Rhinolophus ferrumequinum: one gene and its partner. The protein of the gene in region 1 interacts with the protein of each later gene in a biochemical or structural test. Links are inferred from orthologs where the notes say so. Each region holds a gene or a part of one and is shown on either strand. Other genes may lie near its edges. The genes, in order: CALR and MBL2.

Evidence for each region.
Region 2: the proteins of CALR (region 1) and MBL2 form a complex in vitro, tested with the Homo sapiens proteins (2 studies listed by BioGRID and IntAct). The link is inferred for Rhinolophus ferrumequinum from reciprocal best matches to the Homo sapiens genes CALR and MBL2.

Annotation. Positions count from the first base shown.
Region 1 is NC_046301.1:48,679,209-48,688,604, reverse strand, and holds CALR (calreticulin), read left to right. Parts: upstream 1-5,320; 5' UTR 5,321-5,404; coding exon 5,405-5,495; intron 5,496-5,856; coding exon 5,857-5,958; intron 5,959-6,145; coding exon 6,146-6,349; intron 6,350-6,808; coding exon 6,809-6,903; intron 6,904-6,991; coding exon 6,992-7,201; intron 7,202-7,283; coding exon 7,284-7,397; intron 7,398-7,483; coding exon 7,484-7,627; intron 7,628-8,227; coding exon 8,228-8,320; intron 8,321-8,404; coding exon 8,405-8,608; 3' UTR 8,609-9,173; downstream 9,174-9,396. Other genes in the region: FARSA (phenylalanine--tRNA ligase alpha subunit), read right to left, coding at 108-226, 295-393, 482-619, 2,167-2,313. UniProt on the Homo sapiens protein: Calcium-binding chaperone that promotes folding, oligomeric assembly and quality control in the endoplasmic reticulum (ER) via the calreticulin/calnexin cycle.
Region 2 is NC_046299.1:35,533,653-35,542,960, reverse strand, and holds the start of MBL2 (mannose-binding protein C), read left to right. Parts: upstream 1-5,558; 5' UTR 5,559-5,634; coding exon 5,635-5,646; intron 5,647-6,242; coding exon 6,243-6,435; intron 6,436-6,820; coding exon 6,821-6,937; intron 6,938-8,504; coding exon 8,505-8,573; intron 8,574-9,308. UniProt on the Homo sapiens protein: Calcium-dependent lectin involved in innate immune defense. Binds mannose, fucose and N-acetylglucosamine on different microorganisms and activates the lectin complement pathway.

The DNA of each region.
Region 1 (9,396 bases):
CTGAGAGCACCGAGGCCCAGGTGGGGAGAGGGGCTCTCCCTTCCCTCCCCCTACCCCACGGCCACACAGGTGACATGGGTCTGAGCCTGGGAGTGGCAGCCACTCACACTTCCGTCAGCAGTTTCCTCTTCTTGAGCTCACTCCTTTCCTTCTCACCCAGCTTCTCGGCCTGTCCACCCCGGACCAGCTGGAGCCGCCGCTGCACCTCATCCTCCACACTGTCCACCTATTGTAATGATGGGCATGAGGGACCGTGAGGACCAGGGGCTCACCCACCTACCCGCAGGGACTCACCACTCGGAACACCCGGGGCCCATCAGCAGTGCTCTTGTCCACGCGGATCCACTTGTTGGACATGGCCTTGCTGAAGCCCACCTTGCCGCTGGGCAGTCGCTGGGAAAACAAGGCTGCAGTGAGCGGGGCATGAGGACTGCCTTCACCCCATCACCTCCCTAGGACCCGTCCGCCCCCCAGCCCCTACCATGAGCTCGCTTTGGGCCAGGCCCTCCGGGGGGACGCTATGAAACACCCGGGCCTCATGGCTGCCTTCCCGGGCAATCTCCTCGCCCTCGACCGTAAGCTCCCAGCGCTTGGTGGAGCGGAGCTCAGCCTCGATGATCTGCAGGGCAAAGGGGGCATAGGAGAGGACAGGGTTCAGAGCCAGCACACCCTTGCCGCAGCCGCACTAGGGCCAACATAAAGCACAACCACTGAAGCTAACTAGCTAGCTTTACATCCCAGCTGCACCACTTCCGGAGCCGAGTGGGCTCCTCTTGTTGAGTTTCCCTTCTAGACACAGGGACAACGATAAATATGGTTCTAACTCCCAAGTTGAGTTAAAGTACTAAAGATGATACCTGGCAGAGAACACATTCTTTCTATCACTTTTGAACCTAGGAAAGATTTTTTTTTAACTTGGGGAAGATGTGATTTGAACCACATTAAGGAACCATTATTTAACCCTCTGTGACCTACACAAACGTCAATTTCACGTAGATCAAGATACTGTCACCCCACACACCATAGCTTCAATCCCTTTCCCTCACTGACAACCTTGGGCTCTGCAGCCCGACACCTAATGTCTTTTGTTGTTGTTGCTGTCCATGAGTGCCTAATTTCAAATCCAAGTTTGCCTGTCCCTTCTAGTGACACTGACCAAGTATTCAGGAGTGGTCACATCTGCCAAATAGGAATAATAACACTGCCACCGTTCTACGGTTATGGTAAGGAATGAATCATAAATAAAGCTGAGAACAGAGTGGGACACAGAACACGAGCTTCATGAATGAACAGCCCAGATCTGTGTTCTGAGTCTTTGCCTCCTGGATCTGGCCTCTTGGGTGGCCCACAGGCCTGTCAGCATCCTCCTCCTGTGGCTCCATCATGCTTCACTTATCCAAGTCAGAAGGCGGGGCTTCATCTGTGCTCCCCCTGCCTTGCCATGAATCTCATTTCATACCCTCTCCTGAATCACCTCTCCATTCTAGCTGCCTCCCTACAGCCAAACACCATGCCCTGTAGTTTGGGGATGTGCCAGCCTCTGCCCTTGTCCCTCATCTCCAATCCTCCCCCTGCCAGTTCTTTCCAAAAGTCATGTAAGCAGCACACATATCTGACTAGCTCCAGCTCCTGCCATGGCTCCCCAGTATCCCTGTGAGGGATCTACAAGGCCTTGCAAATTCTGGCTCTGCGGTCTTTCTCACCACCTGACCCCCAACTCCCAATGGATCCCTAAAGCGCTATGGTTTTCCTCCTCAGTACAGAGACCCGACTCAACTGTCATCTCCTCTGGGACACTCTCCCTCACCCCCATGGCTGGGTCAGCTGTCACCTCTGGGTTCCCTGTGCTTCCTCCATCACTCTGGTCACTTGAGTATCTTCCCTATCAGACCGCAATCTCCGTGAGGGTGGCGACCGCGTCTTCTTTGTCCACCATGGTAACCACCACCACGTTAATCATGCCTTTAACAGACGTTTCCTGCATAAGGAACGTCTGTGCGCCCGGGGCCCTCACTCGTTCCTGCTTTCCCGCCTGCACACCCCGAAATGAACACTTACAGTTAACCCTACGCAGGCCTGAGACAGTATGGCCTGGAGTCAGGGCCCTCCTGACACGGGAACTGCAGGTGCCAAAGCCAGCAGCCAGGCATCACGGGTTCGGCTCACCTCGCCCAACGCCTGCAGGCTCTTTACGGTGCCCACCAGGGCCTGGTGCTCCACACCCAGCTCGGCCGCCAGTTCCGCGCTGTCCAGGCCGCCATCCGCCGCCTCCAGGCGCCGCAGCAATGCCTCCGCCACCGGACCATCCGCCATAGCTACTCCCAGCGCGCTCCGCGTGTACCGGCCGGAGCTAGAGCCACCGGAACCGGAACCGGCGCCGAAGCGGATCCCGCCATCTTGAATGTGGTGGTCTGTGTTTCAGGGCTCAGGGCTTCGCCATCTTGAGTGTGTCAATTGGCCTCAAAGGGTGGAAGGGACTCAGTCCTTCTGCCTTGGCTGGACTAGTGGTGTCTGTTTGACGTGAGAAGTCAAATTGATGACCTCAAGGATAGAATTACAGCGTTGTTTTTAACTTTCATCCAGCCCCAGCTGCAGCGGGCTGTATGACCTTGGACTTCTCAACCCTCTCTGGGCTTTGGAGCCCCCAACCCTTCTGGAATTCTCTCTTACCCTATGGAAGGGCGGTGGGTGGTGGGCTCCAGAGATAAGTTATTCTACTGGTATCAGCTACTTTTAAATTTTCAAAGGGAGGTTGGATAGGGACCATCCGTATTTATAGATAGGAAAGGGACTCTCCTCATAATAGTTGCAGTCCAGGTAGTACCTAACCTGTATGAACATTAACCCGTGTGCCCCGTCCAGTGTTAAGTAGTGCACGTGTGTTATTTCATTTTCCCCAAAACTTTATGATGTAGATACTGGTATAATCCCCATGTAACAAATGTGGAAACTAAGGCTCAGAAGGTGATATGATTTGCCTATGGTTGTACAAGAAGCTGGTGGAGATGGAGTCAGAAATTATAAACACCCCAGATCCCACCCAACCTCCTACCCATGCTTTGAGATCAATGTCAGGGCAATAACGCATGGTCTAAATCAACGCTGGCATACAGATATACTCGTATAATGTGAGACATTAATGTAATTTAAAATTTTCTAGCAGCAACATTAAAAACAAAATGGGTGAAATTAATTTGAAGAACTTACCAATTCTGATACATCCATTTATCAGTTAAACACTTGATATAAAATTACTAATGAAATATTTTACCCTTCTTTTTCATATTAAGTCTTGAAATTCAAATGGGCAATAGTAACATGTGGCCAGTGGAGACTATATTAGATAGCAGAAGTACATTCTAATCCCAGATCTGCCATTTATGTCACTCAGCCAAATCTCTTAATCTTCCCATGCTTCAGTTTCCTCATCTGCATGTAGATAATATGAGCCCAGGTTATTGTGAGAATTAAGTGAAATAATGCCCATGCGTGTACGCAGTATTTAATACTAAATTGCATGTGGATTGTGTGTCAGGCACTATTCTAAGCAGTATGCATTTACTCATTTAACCATTACAATTGTTATTTGAGCCTAGAAAATGAGGTTACTAATATCCCCTAATCCCGACCCTACAGTGAAGTCCTGATAAAAAAATTTCAGAATGCATTCCTCAAAATCCCTTTTGTTCCTTCACTTTCCTCATTTTTGTTTAATTTCCTCAAGAGTCCTTCCTTCTGTCATAGATCAAATAGGTTGTAAGCCTGTTGTGTGCCAGGTGCTGCTTGAGACACCAGGGGATGGTAAAGTGAACAAGCACAGCGTCTACTCTCAGGCAGGAAGCACCAAACCCATGTGTCCATGACACTTGGTTGGAGGGAAGGCAGGAGGGTCAGTGACAGGCCTGAAGTGATCATCCTAGATTGGAGGCTCCTCATAAGGGGGGCCAGGTTGGGCCATACCGGATACTGCCTGGGGGAAGGGTCAGAATCCCAACTTCTCCAAGACTCCTCCTGCTTCCCTTTTCTGAGTTCTCATCACTAGTGTGGAAGTACCACCTCCTCAGTCTTTTGCCAGGATTCCTTCCCTTTCCCCCTTCTGCAGGCCATTCCCAAGTTCCCAGGTCTAGGGCTTGTTTGCTCAGTTTGGGAAAACCCCAGCCCTCCTTCCTCTTTCCTGCAGACTTGAGGCAGGGAGCTGGTGTCCCACACTGTCAGTCACATGGTTTCTGGCTTCAGAAGAAGCCTCTAGACTCAGGGGTCCTACCCCTCTCCCTCGGACCTTATCTTCCCCACCATCTGTCTCTTATTTTCCCTCCCGTTTAACGGAACCCCCTGTCCTCTCTTCTTTAGCCGTTTAATTGCAAAAGCCAGGCCGTTTGTGGGAGACCACAAGGCAGAGACCCCTTTCATTTTCTGGATGGGGGTGGAGGGTAAAGGAGAGGCTGCAACTAAGGAACAACCCTATCCCTCCCTAGGAGTCAAATCCTATAGTCATGTCTTTGAGCCTTCTGGGTTTTCTTCTGTCTGTCCCAGGCCATCCTTAAAAAACTTTGAAAGCATTTCTGCTAAGCAGCAGCTGCCCTGGGTCGCTCCTCCTAGCCTCCCAGGAACTCCTGTGACTTCAGAGTCTAAGTGACTTGCCCCAGCTCACACAGCAGCAGTCCACCAGGCTACCAGACACTAGGGACCGCACAGAAGAGAGAGCTAGCACTCTCTCCGCTGGACTGCACGGCTGTTGCGCCGGAGTGAAGTGAAGCTCCAGGGTCCCAGACCCTGGGCTCTGGTGCCCTCTGCCTCAGCCTGTGTGTGTGTGTGGGGGGGCAAGGCTAAGAGAGAAACAGCGCGTCGTAGTGAGAATTCCCCAAATGCAGGGTAGAGAGACTAGTAAAATCCTGCCCACCACACCCCACGGAGAGGATGAGAGAAGGCGACGTTGGGGTAGGGTCCTAGTCCAGCGCAGTGACACCTGCGCTCGCGCGGGTTCTTTAAATGCCCAAATCCAGAAAAATGCACGGGCGCGAGGGCGGGGTTGGGCCGAAGAGTGGTCACATGACCTGATCTGAGGAGTTGGAGGCCCCTACCCCACCGGTGGGCGTCCCCCACAACGCGTGGTCGACCCTCATTGGCGAGCGGTGCGGCCAATAGAAATCGGCCATCTGGGAACCCAGTGTTCCGAGGCACAGCCGAACATGCTGAGCCGAAGAGGGCCCAATGGGAAAGCAGAAACGTGGCCATTGACCAATGAAAAGATGTGGAGGGCGGGCCAAGAGGCAGGGCCAGGTTGGTTTAAGGGTCGGTCGGCTATAAAAGCGCGCGGCCAGAGCTAGCGTCCGTCCCTGCTGCAGAGGTGCTGTCCGACGAACGACTTAAAGGGCCCCGCGCTCTGCCGCCCCCTCGGCCCGCCATGCTGCTACCTGTGCCGCTGCTGCTCTGCCTTCTCGGCCTGGCTGCCGCCGAACCCGTCGTCTACTTAAAGGAGCAGTTTCTAGACGGAGGTAACGCCTCGAGGCCGCCCCGACGATGCGACCGGCCCCCCAGCCCAGATCTGCGTTGTGGCCTGTAATTATTGCTCTGAGGACCAACACGGTGGTCCCCGGGGACAAGAGCCGCAGCCTATCCTTCTTTCCGCGTCCCTGGGGAACATGGAGGGCGCAGTGGCCTCCCGCGTCGGGAGTTAGGGTTCGCCTGAGAATCTTTTAAGCCACTGGAGGTGTCAAACTAGTGGTTGGGATGGGGGCACTCAAGAGGGAGGGAGATGTCTTTGCCTGCAGCAGTTAGTGGCTCCTGGCAGATATTTGGTGGTGGTGTTGGGCGGAATCAGCAAAGCCGCGCTGACCTGCCCCTCTGATCCCGTAGACGGGTGGACCAACCGCTGGATTGAATCCAAACACAAAACGGATTTTGGCAAATTCGTCCTCAGTGCCGGCAAGTTCTACGGTGATCTGGACAAAGATAAAGGTAAGAGCATGGGTATAGGTCATCAGATCCAGGAGGACTTCCTGGAGGAAGTACTAGGCACTGCACAGCCTGGGCATCTCCAGGAGCAGGGCAGGCGGAGGAAGTGGGGAGAGTCGTCTGTATCTTTGATTCTTAGGGTTCCCTGGGGGTTGGGGCCAGCTGTGACCTCACTACCATCCCCTGCTAGGGCTGCAGACGAGCCAGGATGCCCGCTTTTACGCCCTGTCGACCAGATTTGAGCCCTTCAGCAACAAGGACCAGACATTGGTGGTGCAGTTCACCGTGAAACACGAGCAGAACATCGACTGTGGGGGCGGCTATGTGAAGCTATTTCCAGATAGTTTGGAACAGACAGACATGCACGGAGACTCTGAATACAACATTATGTTTGGTGAGGGGCCCCACCCTGGTGCTGACCTCTGATTAGTTAGAGGGAGACTGAGATCCCATAGGTTCCTTGTATCCCATGACAGGTGGTCTTGAAAGCACAGGAAACACATAGGCTTTTCTTTGAAGGGTAAGGTGAGGGGATAATCACAGCAGCAATTTATTGCATTGTTATTATTGGTCTAAGTCTGTTAATATGTGTGATCTTACATAGGCATTTTCCAATTTTACAAGTGAGGGTACTGTATTCTAGAGCATGAATTTTTTTTTTTTCCAAGGCTCCACCTTAGAGACACCTTAGAGACTGTCCCTTAGAGACAGTCAGTGTCTGAGTCCTGTCTCTTGAGTCTTTACAGACCTAAGTTTAAGAGGTTTTCCTTTTGTGAAGAATGGCGGGGTAGGGGGCGGGGGCTGGCTATGGTGGGCAGGGTTTGGCCCTTAACTGGACCTGCTTCTCACCTAGGCCCTGACATCTGTGGCCCGGGCACCAAGAAGGTTCATGTCATCTTCAACTACAAGGGCAAGAATGTGCTAATCAATAAGGATATCCGTTGCAAGGTGTGCCTGGGGTGGTGACAAATGGCTGCCTGGGGAGGCTCAGAGGCCAGCCTGGTGGGTGGGGCCACTTACTTCCCGCCCTCTTCAGGATGATGAATTCACACACCTGTACACACTGATCGTTCGGCCGGATAATACCTATGAGGTGAAGATTGACAACAGCCAGGTGGAGTCGGGCTCCCTGGAAGACGATTGGGACTTCTTGCCACCTAAGAAGATAAAGGATCCTGATGCTTCCAAGCCTGAAGACTGGGATGAGCGGGCCAAGATTGATGACCCCACAGACTCCAAACCTGAGGTTGGTGCTTGGGCAGGGAGTCCCCACCATGGAGGAGGTGGCGGAGAGCTGGGCTGACTCTGATCTCCTCGTGTGCCCTCAGGATTGGGACAAGCCTGAGCACATCCCTGACCCTGATGCTAAGAAGCCTGAGGACTGGGATGAAGAGATGGATGGAGAGTGGGAACCACCAGTGATTCAGAACCCAGAATACAAGGTGGGCCTGGGGCTCCCGAGCAGGATGGGGGTACACAGTGGGGAGCATGCTGACCTCTTCTCACCTCCAGTTCCCTTCTTCTGCAGGGTGAGTGGAAGCCCCGACAGATTGACAACCCAGATTACAAGGGCACTTGGATCCACCCAGAGATCGACAACCCTGAGTATTCTCCGGATAGCAATATCTATGCCTATGAAAACTTTGCTGTGCTGGGCCTAGACCTCTGGCAGGTGAGACATGGAGGGAACAGGAGGATCCCTAGGGGACCTCAAGTGCTCAAGGTCACCCAGAAGGAAAGGGACAGGGATAGGATCCAACCCTAGGTAGGTCTGACCCCAAAATTGTCCTGTTTTGAAGAATTTCTTGGTCTGTTTCTATGGCGTTCTCACAGCACCTCGTTTGAGGTTCTACATGCTATGCTAGGCACTCCCCCAAGAACCTTTATGTGAACCAACTCATTAACTGCCCCCAACAACCTAGAAGGTAGATAGTCCCTTATAAAATGAGCTGTACGGGGACCAAATTTTTGTTTGTTTCATTCACTAATATACCTTCTGTGCTAAGAACAGTACCTGCCAATAGTAGGTGCTAGAAAAATACTTGAACAAGAGGAAGAGATCCCATTATACAGATAAAGAAACTGAGGTATAGAAAAGTCACCAGCCCAACGTCACGTAGGTGGGAAATAGCAGAGCTGGGGTTTGCACTCAGTCAGCCTGTATTTTAAGTGTGAAGTTAGGCTGCGGCATTGTGGAGTGGTTATGGAACTGAAGGGCAGGAGCGTGGTGTGTTCCCTCTGGCCACCCCTTTATCCATCCTCCCCTTCCCAGGTGAAGTCTGGCACCATCTTTGACAACTTCCTCATCACCAACGACGAGGCGTATGCGGAAGAGTTCGGCAATGAGACGTGGGGTGTCACAAAGGTGGGGCCTGGGTCCAGTTCTTGGCTGGGGGGGCAGGCAGGGCTGGCAGGTGGGGGCCAGGTTCTGAGTGTATGGTCTGTGCAGGCGGCAGAAAAGCAAATGAAAGACAAGCAGGACGAGGAGCAGAGGCTGAAGGAGGAGGAGGAGGACAGGAAGCGCAAGGAGGAGGAGGAGGCGGACAAGGACGACGAGGATGACAAGGAAGACGAGGACGAGGACGAGGATGATAAGGAGGAAGACGAGGAGGAGGACGAGGCCGCCGCCGGCCCATCCAAGGATGAGCTGTAGGGGCCGCACCGCCATTTCCGGGGCTGAACTGAGGCCTGAGCGCTCCTGCCGCACAGCCGGCCGCGCCAAATAATGTCTCTATGAGACTGGAGAACTTTCCTTTTTTTTCCAGGCGGGTTCGGATTTGGGGTGGATTTTGGTTTTGTTCTCCCTTTTTTTTTTGTTATTTGTTTTTTGAACTGGTGTTTTTGTCTATGATTCTCCCTCAGCCCTCACCTCTGGCCCTCATCTTTCTTGACCCTTCGCCGTCCTCTGTCTCTTCTCTCCCCATGTCCCTTAGTTCCCCTCCAACCTGGGGGCATGAGGAGGTGGGGAGGAGAAGCTCCAGGCCCAAGATTCCGACTATTCACCTTCCTGAATCCCAGAGTGGGACAGGAAAAGGGCGTGGTGTCCCAGACCCCCAGCACTGAGGAAGAATGGGGCTCCTAGGGCCCGAGCTCCGACCCCTCACCCCCACTTCCTCCCTTTCTCCCTGCCTCCAGAACTGGGCCACTTCTGGGTGGGGCAGTGGGTTCCAACTCAGCTCATACAGAATGTAAGAACTACAAACAAAATTTCTATTAAATTAAGTTTTGTGTCTTCTTCCTGTGTCTCCTTCTGGGGGAGGATGGACATTAGGGAACCAAAAGTGGCCCTTTTTTTAGGGGTTGACATTTGAGTAAGGCTTATTTTTCAGCCACTGAAGTGTTGGCTGAGTGTCCCATAAGGTTACAGTTACCCCCACAAAGCAGTGGGAGATGAACTAAGTACCATTACAAATACTCTATGTATCAACTCATTGAGTCCTT
Region 2 (9,308 bases), on another chromosome or scaffold:
ACAGCAGCTTCTAGGAAGTAAATGAGTGAACACGGACGGGGACGTGTGGTGTCTTCAGTACCGACGTGGGCTTGCTGCGATTCTGAGTTTGGCCACTAGATGGCAGAGCTGACCTGTAGGTTCCCTGTGGGACCTTGTTTAGGAGATGACCCTCACTCCATGGGTAGGGTTCCCCTGTCACTCACCATAGCTCCTCGGAAGCCATGCAGAGCAACCTGAAAGGACAGACTCTCCCTCCTCACCACTCCACCTCTCTTTAAACGGGAGTCAACAGGGGTCCAGGTTGTTCCTGGGTCAGTCAAGCTTGGTTACTCTGGGTCTCCTAAGTGTCTATTCCCTTACCTGTCACAGGAAACCCTCATTCTTGGTCCTCGTTCTCTGTCAGGGGAATATTTTTCTTAAGGGCAAGGGATTCCATATTCATACTACATTCTAGCCATCCCTCCAACATATTTATGGTTCTGAAGGGCTTTCTTTAAAACCCTTTAACAGCTGGAGGACGGAGACTCGTAAGGGGAGAGTCAGCCTCAGTCACAAATCTCAGGTCAGGATGGAATGGAATCAGATCTGTGTATGTTCCCTGTCCTTACCCTTCCTTCTGCCTTGGGGGTCGGGGGGCTGGTAGCTGGGCACCCAAGGAAATGTGGAAGAGGAGCAGCTGACATCTAGCTTGGCCAGCAGTGGCTGGAACTAGCCTCCCCCTGGCCTTCCTGTCAGAGCATCTTCCTTAACTCCCTCCCCCTTCCCATCCCACTGCCTCCAGTGCCCCTTCCTTCCTGTCCAGGACAGTTTTCCCTGTATCCCTAACTTCCTAGTCTATAGGAGCGGTTTGGGATTGGTTAGGTTCCCCCGGACCTAAGTCTGTATTAGCTCAGGCTGCCTTCACAAGATACCCAGAATGGGTGGCTTAAACAACATTTACTTTCTCACAGTTCTGAATGCTGGAAGTCCAAGATCAATGTGCCAACAGGGGTAATTTCTACTGAGACAGCCCTGTACCTTCTCACTTTGTCCTCTCATGGTCTTTTCTCTTTGTGTGTATGCACAAGGAAAAGTCCCTGGTGTCTCTTTCTCTTCTTATAAGGACACCAGTTCTATCAGATTAGGGCCTTATTCTTATGACCTCATTTATTTGTAATTAGTTACTTACAGGTCCTACCTCTAAATATAGTCACATTAGGGATTAAGGCTTCAACATATGAATTGGGGGAGGGGGAGGCGGGAGGAATGACAAAATTCAGTCTGTAACAGTGGATGTCTTAGAGCTGGTGGGTCTCTTGTGCCTGGTCAGACGGAAGCCCAGAGGCAATCTCAGAGCCTAGAACCGGCCAGTTCCAGCCCTCTGCCCTCCTAGACTCTCAGCCTCTCCCATGAGCTTGGCTGGAGTAATCACTGATGCTACATATGCCCACAGAGGGCACACACAGGGCATTTGTGCACTCACCCTGTACAAGGACAAACCTACTATGACAGCTATCGAAGGACGCATGGCTACAAATTTACTCTGCAACACATGCTTTGTATTAAAACACAGAATTCCGGTAAGCATGTCTTTAAAGTGAGCATGATAAGCTTTCACATTGGAGGGCACTAGAGAGCTGCTGCAAGAAAAAGGGGCTCCTGCAGTTTGTGGATGCATCTCAGTGGTTGGGTCCGCCTTGTGTGTATGAGAACAGCCCTGAGAGCCCTGCCCCAGCCACAGTCCGGAGGCTGGGTTGCTGGGCGAGGTGGCGAGTGTGCCACCTTAGCATGGTCCGACCACAGCCTGTCCTGCAGCCCTGTCCCGCAGCCCTGTCACCAGGAAAACCCAGAAGAAGGCTTCCTTCCTGCACCTCTGCCCTGATTCTCTCTGTGGTCCTTCTCCCCTAAAAGTGTCTCCCACAATCTTCTGGAAGCAGCAGCCCTCCCAGTAGGGACAGTAGGCTCCAGGCCTGCCACACCCCCACCCACTCCCATTGCCCAATGGAGCAGCCACCAGCTCTGCTTGCCTCCCACCTGTTTCCTAAGATAAGCAGACTCTTGTGCAGTCATCCTGGAGGCAATGAAGTCCCTGGCATGCTGGGCTACATGCCATGCACGCTGAGCGTGGGCCCGAAAAGGACATTCCATGGCACAGAAAAGGCAGGGGAATCCTGGTTCACAGATGAGGGATGGAGGAACCGAAGGAGATGGGACTTGGCTAAGTTCACACCTGGGAAGTGACAGAGCTGGGATTCCATCCCTGGCTAGAAGAAAGGGAGTTTTGTGGGGCAGGTCAGAGAGGAAGTGTCTCTGCAGCCTTTTGAGGTAAGGTAGATGTCTGGTGGAGGTACCAGAGTGGAGGCAGTTCTGGGACGGGCCCAAGGTCCACAAAAAATGCACACAGTGGCCTCTCAAAGGCAGGGTGCATCTCCCGCGTATCTCATGATGAGAAGGCCAGCTGGTGACTGTGGAGAGCAGAAGGGGCTCGTAGCCGGGCAGCACTCAGCGCAGTGGCTCAGCTGTTGGACTGACTTCGAACCTACATGTCCGACCTTTCCCAGCCCAGTTCCAGGAAATGTCAGGGCCTGGAGGGCAGCTTCCTGACGTCTGGACGAAGTGTCCAATAATATAATAGCAAGCACGGTGATCAAAGCCAACACCTCCAACGTGACCTGGATTCAGCTGCTTCATTTCACCTCCTGCCACTTTGGAACAGGAGCCATAGGAATGTTTGGCTGCTAAAGAGTCGGGAAGAGAGATGAACAAGTTGCCTGAAGCCTTGATAGGCCCTGAATCTCCTAGTCTCTGTCATTTGATTTAGGCATGTGGTTCTCTGCCACCCTGGACATTTATCAGGCAGAAGGGACGAGTCAGCAGAATGTAGGGAAACCATGACCTCCACAAGCCAAGGACAGTCCAATTGGAAGGGACCTGGAAGAGAATCTCACCCACATTCCTTCTGGTGTTTGGAGGCCTCTAGAGCATGGCTCTGTAACATCTATGTGAGGCTTCCAAGATGGGCTCTCTCACCACTCCAAGCTCACATGACATTTTATGACACGTCTATTAAAAATGATGTTCAAAATCAACTCCGTTGTGCTTCATAAAGGTATTGTGCCATTCCTTCTAGATTGTTCCTCTTGACCACCATCACATGGCTCCAGCCATTTACCCACAAGATACCCATTATCTCCCCCTCCTTGCAATTGTTATTTTGTCTTTATTTCCATTTCAGTTGAACGGCATTCAGCTATTCAAGTCAGAAACCTGTGTATCCATAAAAATTCCTTCTTTTTGTTCATCATTGCACATCCAACCAATTCCCAAGTTCCATCAAATATACCTTGCAGATGTTCTCAAACGTGTCCACTTTCTTGATCCAGCTGCCATTATCCTAATTCTGGCCACCATTATCTGCTGCTTAGATGATAGGACCTCCTTGCAGGTCTGATTTTTCCCATACCTTCTCCCTTCCAATCCTTCTCCACACTGTAGTCAGAACAAGCTTTGAAAATTTCAAAGCTGATGTTCTCTCTTCTGTTGAAATTTCTCTAATGACCCTTTGGAAGAGGCCCAAAGTCTTATAAAAGTTACAATTCTGTTGTTAACTTGCTCATGCCTCATCTCTCACCACTTGGATCTCACACTGTAAGCCCAGTCAGAATTAATCGTATTATCTTTGGGAACCTGGCCTACTCTCTCTCACTTTCAAGCCATTGCACAGACTAGTCACAATGTGAAACTTGGAAGGAAGCAGGAATAATATTTGGAACATCCACAACTTCCTTGAGACTCCCTTTGGAAAACGTTTTTTTTGAAATAATTTTAGTCTCACATATAAGTTGAATAAATAATCAAGAAAGGTATCATGTACTCTTCATCCATCATTCACCAATGATAGGTTCTAACATACCATAGTACAAGTACCAAAACCAGGAAATTGGCATCAGAGCAATATAACAAGATACTAATCTTATTTGGATTTAAACATTATTTACCAGCATTCTTTTTTTTTTTCCTGTGATTTTTCCACAGTTTATTTAGCCATTCACTTGTTGAAGGATAATTGGATTAGTTCCAGATTTTTTGGCTATTAAAAATGAAGCTTCCAAAATGTGATGTTTGCGTATAATAAAATTATTACTCGGCTTTAAAAAGGAAGGAAATCCTGATATATGCTACAACATGGATGCACCCTGAAGACATGATTATAAATGAAATAAGCCTGTCACAGAAACAGAAATGTAGTATGATTCCACTAACATAAGTACCTAGAGTAGTCAAATTCATAGAGACAAAACGTAGAACAGTTGTACCCAGAGGACGGGGGTGGGGGGGGCTGGACATTGGTGTTTAATGGGTACAGAGTTTCATTTAGGGAAGATGAAAAAGTTCTGCAAATGAATAGTGGTCATGGTTACACAACAAAGTGAATGTAGTTAATGCTGATGAATTGTACACTTAATAGTCAAAATGATAAAAATTATGCTATGCATATTTTAACACAACAACAAAATTAAAAAGGTAAATAGCTAGAATATAATACCATGAAATGTATGTAATATGAAAGAAAATAAAGCAAGCTAAGACGATAGAGAGTCGCTCGGTGGGACTGATTGAGACAGGTTTCTCTGAGACAGGGGTATTGGGATAGAAGAAAGAGCCAGCCAGTGACACAGTGGCGGGCATGTGCAGGCTAGGAGAATGTCAAGTGGAGAGCCTGAGGCAGGGGTGGTCTTGGTGTGTTCAAGGCAGCAAGGTTCTGCTGTGCTTTCACAGATGTGTGTGTGTGTGTGTGTGTGCACATGCACATGTTTGTGTGTATAATTGGTGTGCACAAACATGTGGGTACATTCCTGGGTATTGTTAGGTTTCTCTATTAGAAACAAGGACGTATCACGTGAGCCTACTTACAGCGTCTCAGCAACGAGAACTGCCAGAACGGATGGCAATTTGCAGGAAGATTGGTGCAGTATTAAAGCAAATAGCTGTTGAACAAAATGTCAGAACCTCTGGGAAATGCTAAGGAGAGTTTGGTGCAGCCCTAAGAAAAGTTGTTTATTAATCTGGGGTTGAAGGCCAGGCCTACTCTGCCAGTGTACAAGGTGATTGGGCCCTGCCATTGCCAAGTCCAGCCTCCTTCCTCACCCTGAGGCAACTGCCAGAGCCCCTGGCTGGAGGGCCAGCTTCCTTGTCTCTGCCTCCTTGCTTTGCAGAAGCCCTAGTAAGTCCTTTCCAGGGTATGGATTTGTCTAGGGGCTTGACTTGAACTTGGAGGCCTAGAGGGGCACTTTCTGGTGGGGTGGAGGTGGGGAGATGACAGGCAGAAGCCATGCAGGGTGTGCTTCTTTCTCTGCTTACGTCGGGGCACCTGTGACTTTCCTGGATTTACCTGACCATTTGGAAATGAGACTGCCTTTATTTTCAAAGAGAGCCATGAAGGATTAGACCCACAAAGCTGGGCTACTGAGGTTTCCTGAGGAAGGACGGCTTTGAAAGAGAGCTTTGAAGGACAGATGAAATGCTAACATTGAGAAATGGGAAGGGCAGTCAAGGAAGGTGGTCTAATTGCCAATGTTTTTGACTCACAGAACACAAGAAAAGTCCTTCCAGGAACTGGAGAGAGATCTGGCACCCTGCTAGGGCCAAGGTAGTGAGAGGTTTCTAGAGAAAATGCTACCCCTGGTAAGTCTCGCTTGCATGGGAACTAAAACCTCAAGACGAAGCAAACTCAGGTTAATTCTGGGCTGGGCTAGTGACGAATAGTGACTCTTCCTGTCTGGATCATCAGTCGGCAGCTTGGTGCCTGCCACTGAGTCAATGTTGATTAACTTTGCCCAGATAGGAGGATGGGATGTGGGTGACAGATGAGCCCAAAGTGCAGAGATGGGGAAAGGATGAGCTCCGACAGGTTCCTGGTCTCCATTCACTTCTACCCTCTAAGCTAACAGGCATGAATGTGCTGGCAATGTGTAGGCCCATTTGCTCTCACAAATGACATGGAAAGCCTACTCATGAATTCTAGTGGTGATACCAGGGGCATGGGCACACATGACCCCTCCTTAGAGTCCCCATTGCATGTCGTTGGGCCTACATTTGTTAATCACACAATGTCAGATTATTTACTTTTCCAAATCCCCAGTAAGGGAGCAGGAATGGTTTATCCATCTCTACATCACCTCCACTCAGAACAGGTAACAGGACAGAGGAAATATTTGGTAAATATGTGTTGATTAGCTGAACAAGATGAGAGAATCTTCCTTGACTTTCTGCACACCAAGGTGAGGACCATGTCCCTGTTTCCATCGCTTTCTCTCCTTCTCCTGAGTATGGCGACAGCATCTTGTTCAGAAACAGAATCCTGTGATAACGTCCAAAAGACATGCCCTGTGATCACCTGTGGTTCTCCAGGCATCAACGGCTTCCCAGGAAAAGATGGGCGTGATGGTGCCAAGGGAGAAAAGGGAGAACCAGGTACAACTGGGCTGTTCTAGCTCTGTGACTCTTTACCTTCCAGACAAAACTGCCTGGGCATATAAGGAGAATACTGCCCTACGTATTCAGGTTGCATTTCTCTCAACTACATATTATAATTCACAATACAATTATAGCTCTGACTCTCTAGCATCCCAGACTTCCACACAGGAGTTGGTGACACACGGTTTTCCTACTTGCTTAGGGAGTTGGCCATCCCATGGGACATAGGAGGATTTTCTTCTCTGGGTCATTAGTAGTAGTTTAGAAAAATTGGTCCTGGATTAGTGTCTCCTTTCTCCTGGGAAGGGATTAGACGTCAAACTCTTGGAGAAATAGAGCAACAACACAGATATCGATTTATGTTCCCTCCGTCTTCCAACAGGCCAAGGACTCAGAGGCTTACAGGGCCCTCCTGGAAAGTTGGGGCCTCAAGGAATCCCAGGGCCTCCTGGGTTACCAGGAACAGTAGGCCAAAAAGGAGACCCCGGAAAATGTCCAGGTAAGGAGCTTACCTCAGCAAGATCTAGGTTAAGGACACCCTAAATCCTGGGACTTTGAGTACCTGATGAGAGATGCCCCTTCTCCTGCTGCTTTGATGGAAGATGCTCAATTCTGCTTTCTGACCCAGCACCCTCAGCTCTCTTTAGATTACTTAGAGCCTCAGGGGATTCCTACCTGTGCTAAGTACAGACTTATAGACTCTTCAGGGCCACCCCTTCACCAGGCATCCCGAGAGGCGCTGGGCCCTGACTCCCTTTAGCTGAAACAATGTGAGGCTCTGGTCCAAAAGGGAGAAAATAGGCCATTTATGTGTAAGGCTTGTCATGTCTATTTTCACAACAGCAGTATATACATGGTATGTCAGTTATCTTTTACTTCATGAGGAACAAACATACAAAAAACAAAACAAAAACACAGCCACAGAAGCAATTCTGTGGATCCACTGAGTGATTTTTCTGTTGGTCTCTGCTGGATTCACTCGTGTCTGTGGTCAACTGATGACCAATGGTCACACTTACAAGTCTTGCTGTTGTTTAGTTATCAGGCGGAGTGAGCCACAGGTCCCTCATCCTCCAACAAGCTAGCCTGGGCTTGTTCCCATAGAGGTGATTACAAGATTCCGAGGAGTGGAAAGAATAGAAGCTTTAAGACCTTCTGAAGGCTTAGGACATGTACATTATTGCCTCTGTCACATTCTAATGGTCAAAACAAGTCACAAGGCCATCCCAGATTCAAGGAGTGGGAAAATAGGCTCCACTTCTTAATGAAAAAGATACACCACACTGAAGCCATTTTTGCTATCTATCACACATGGCTTGCTGCCCTCCCTCTCCCCTACACACAGACTTAAATAATGGGCAATTCACAAAAATCTTGGTTTGCTGATTAATAGAACAAACCCTGGAAAAACAAAAACAAAACAAAAAAGCAACAAAAACAAAACCTCCCTAAATACAAAAACCCTGTAATCTTTTAGTTGATATTCACCATCACATAATAATTTCCCAAGAGGTTTGTTTTTTTGTTTTTTTTTTTCCCCTAATCTATGATAGAGCTGTTTATTTGGGAAAAACAAGAATTAGTGAATAGCTTGGTGTATGGAGTGCTATCATACAAAGTCATCAGGGAGTGCATGTATGTGCATTTGCATGTGAGTGTGTATGTATGCTTTACGTGTCTATGGATATACTCAACAGACGAAGAGTGATGTTTTGGGATGGATGAGAATAGAGATACTTTTCCTTATTCTCTCTCTCTTTCCTCTCTCTCTCTCTCTCTGTGTGTGTGTGTATATATATATATATATATACACACACACACACACATACATATATACATATATATGTATATATATGTATGTGTGTATATATATACATATATATAGCTATATATACATATACAGCTATATACATATATATTTAATTTTTTCAAAGAGCAAATATCAATGTAAAAGAAACAAAAAAATATATATATATATATATATTTTTTGATAAAGATACCCTACCTGCTTGTAGTTCTGAAACCCTTTCTCAACAATGCTCTTTCACTTTGTTTTAATTTCCTAGATTGTGATAATGGCCTGGCTGCTTCAGAAAGAAAAGCTCTGCGATCAGAATTGGACCGTATGAAAAACTGTAAGCCTTCTCTCTCTTACTTTTCAGGCAGCTTAAAGTTTGGGAAGGTGGACAGCAACAAATATTTATGAAATACACATAATTTCCTAGCACCTGGATAGTTGTTTCTTATATTCCTCACAACCTTTGGGTAGAAATAGAGGCAAAAAGAAATTACATAACTTGCTCAAACGCACAGAGCTGAGTGGTAGAGGTAGTTTACAAATGGGAATCAATCTGACTCCAGAGACCCGAATCCTACAGTTTTTCCTATCAGTGTGCACATGTGTCAATGACAACGGGACCTACTTTCCTTTCCCATTATTACGCTGGTGTTGAGACCCGACAATGGGCCTAACCTGTTCCTCCTTCGCCCTCCCGGCCTGGGGCAATATTCTCAGATATATTTGTTTATTCTCAAGTTAATATTAGGGTGAAATTCAGAATTACAGATTATATGTCTTCAGAATTCTAATCCAAAAGGACAAAGGCCTTTCCAGTATGTCTCTTCAGATTAGGTTTCCCAGACTTAACAAATTCAAACAAACAAACAAACAAAAAACAAAACACTCATATACATATGAATTTCAGATGAACAACATTTTTTTTTTCTTCAGTATAACTGTGTGCCCAAAATTGCATGGCCTAAAATTGCATGGGCAATACTTATTAAAAAAAAAAAAAAGTTTACCTGAAATTCAAAGTTAATTGGACATACTATATTTCATGTGGCAATTCTACTCTAGAAGCCTTTAT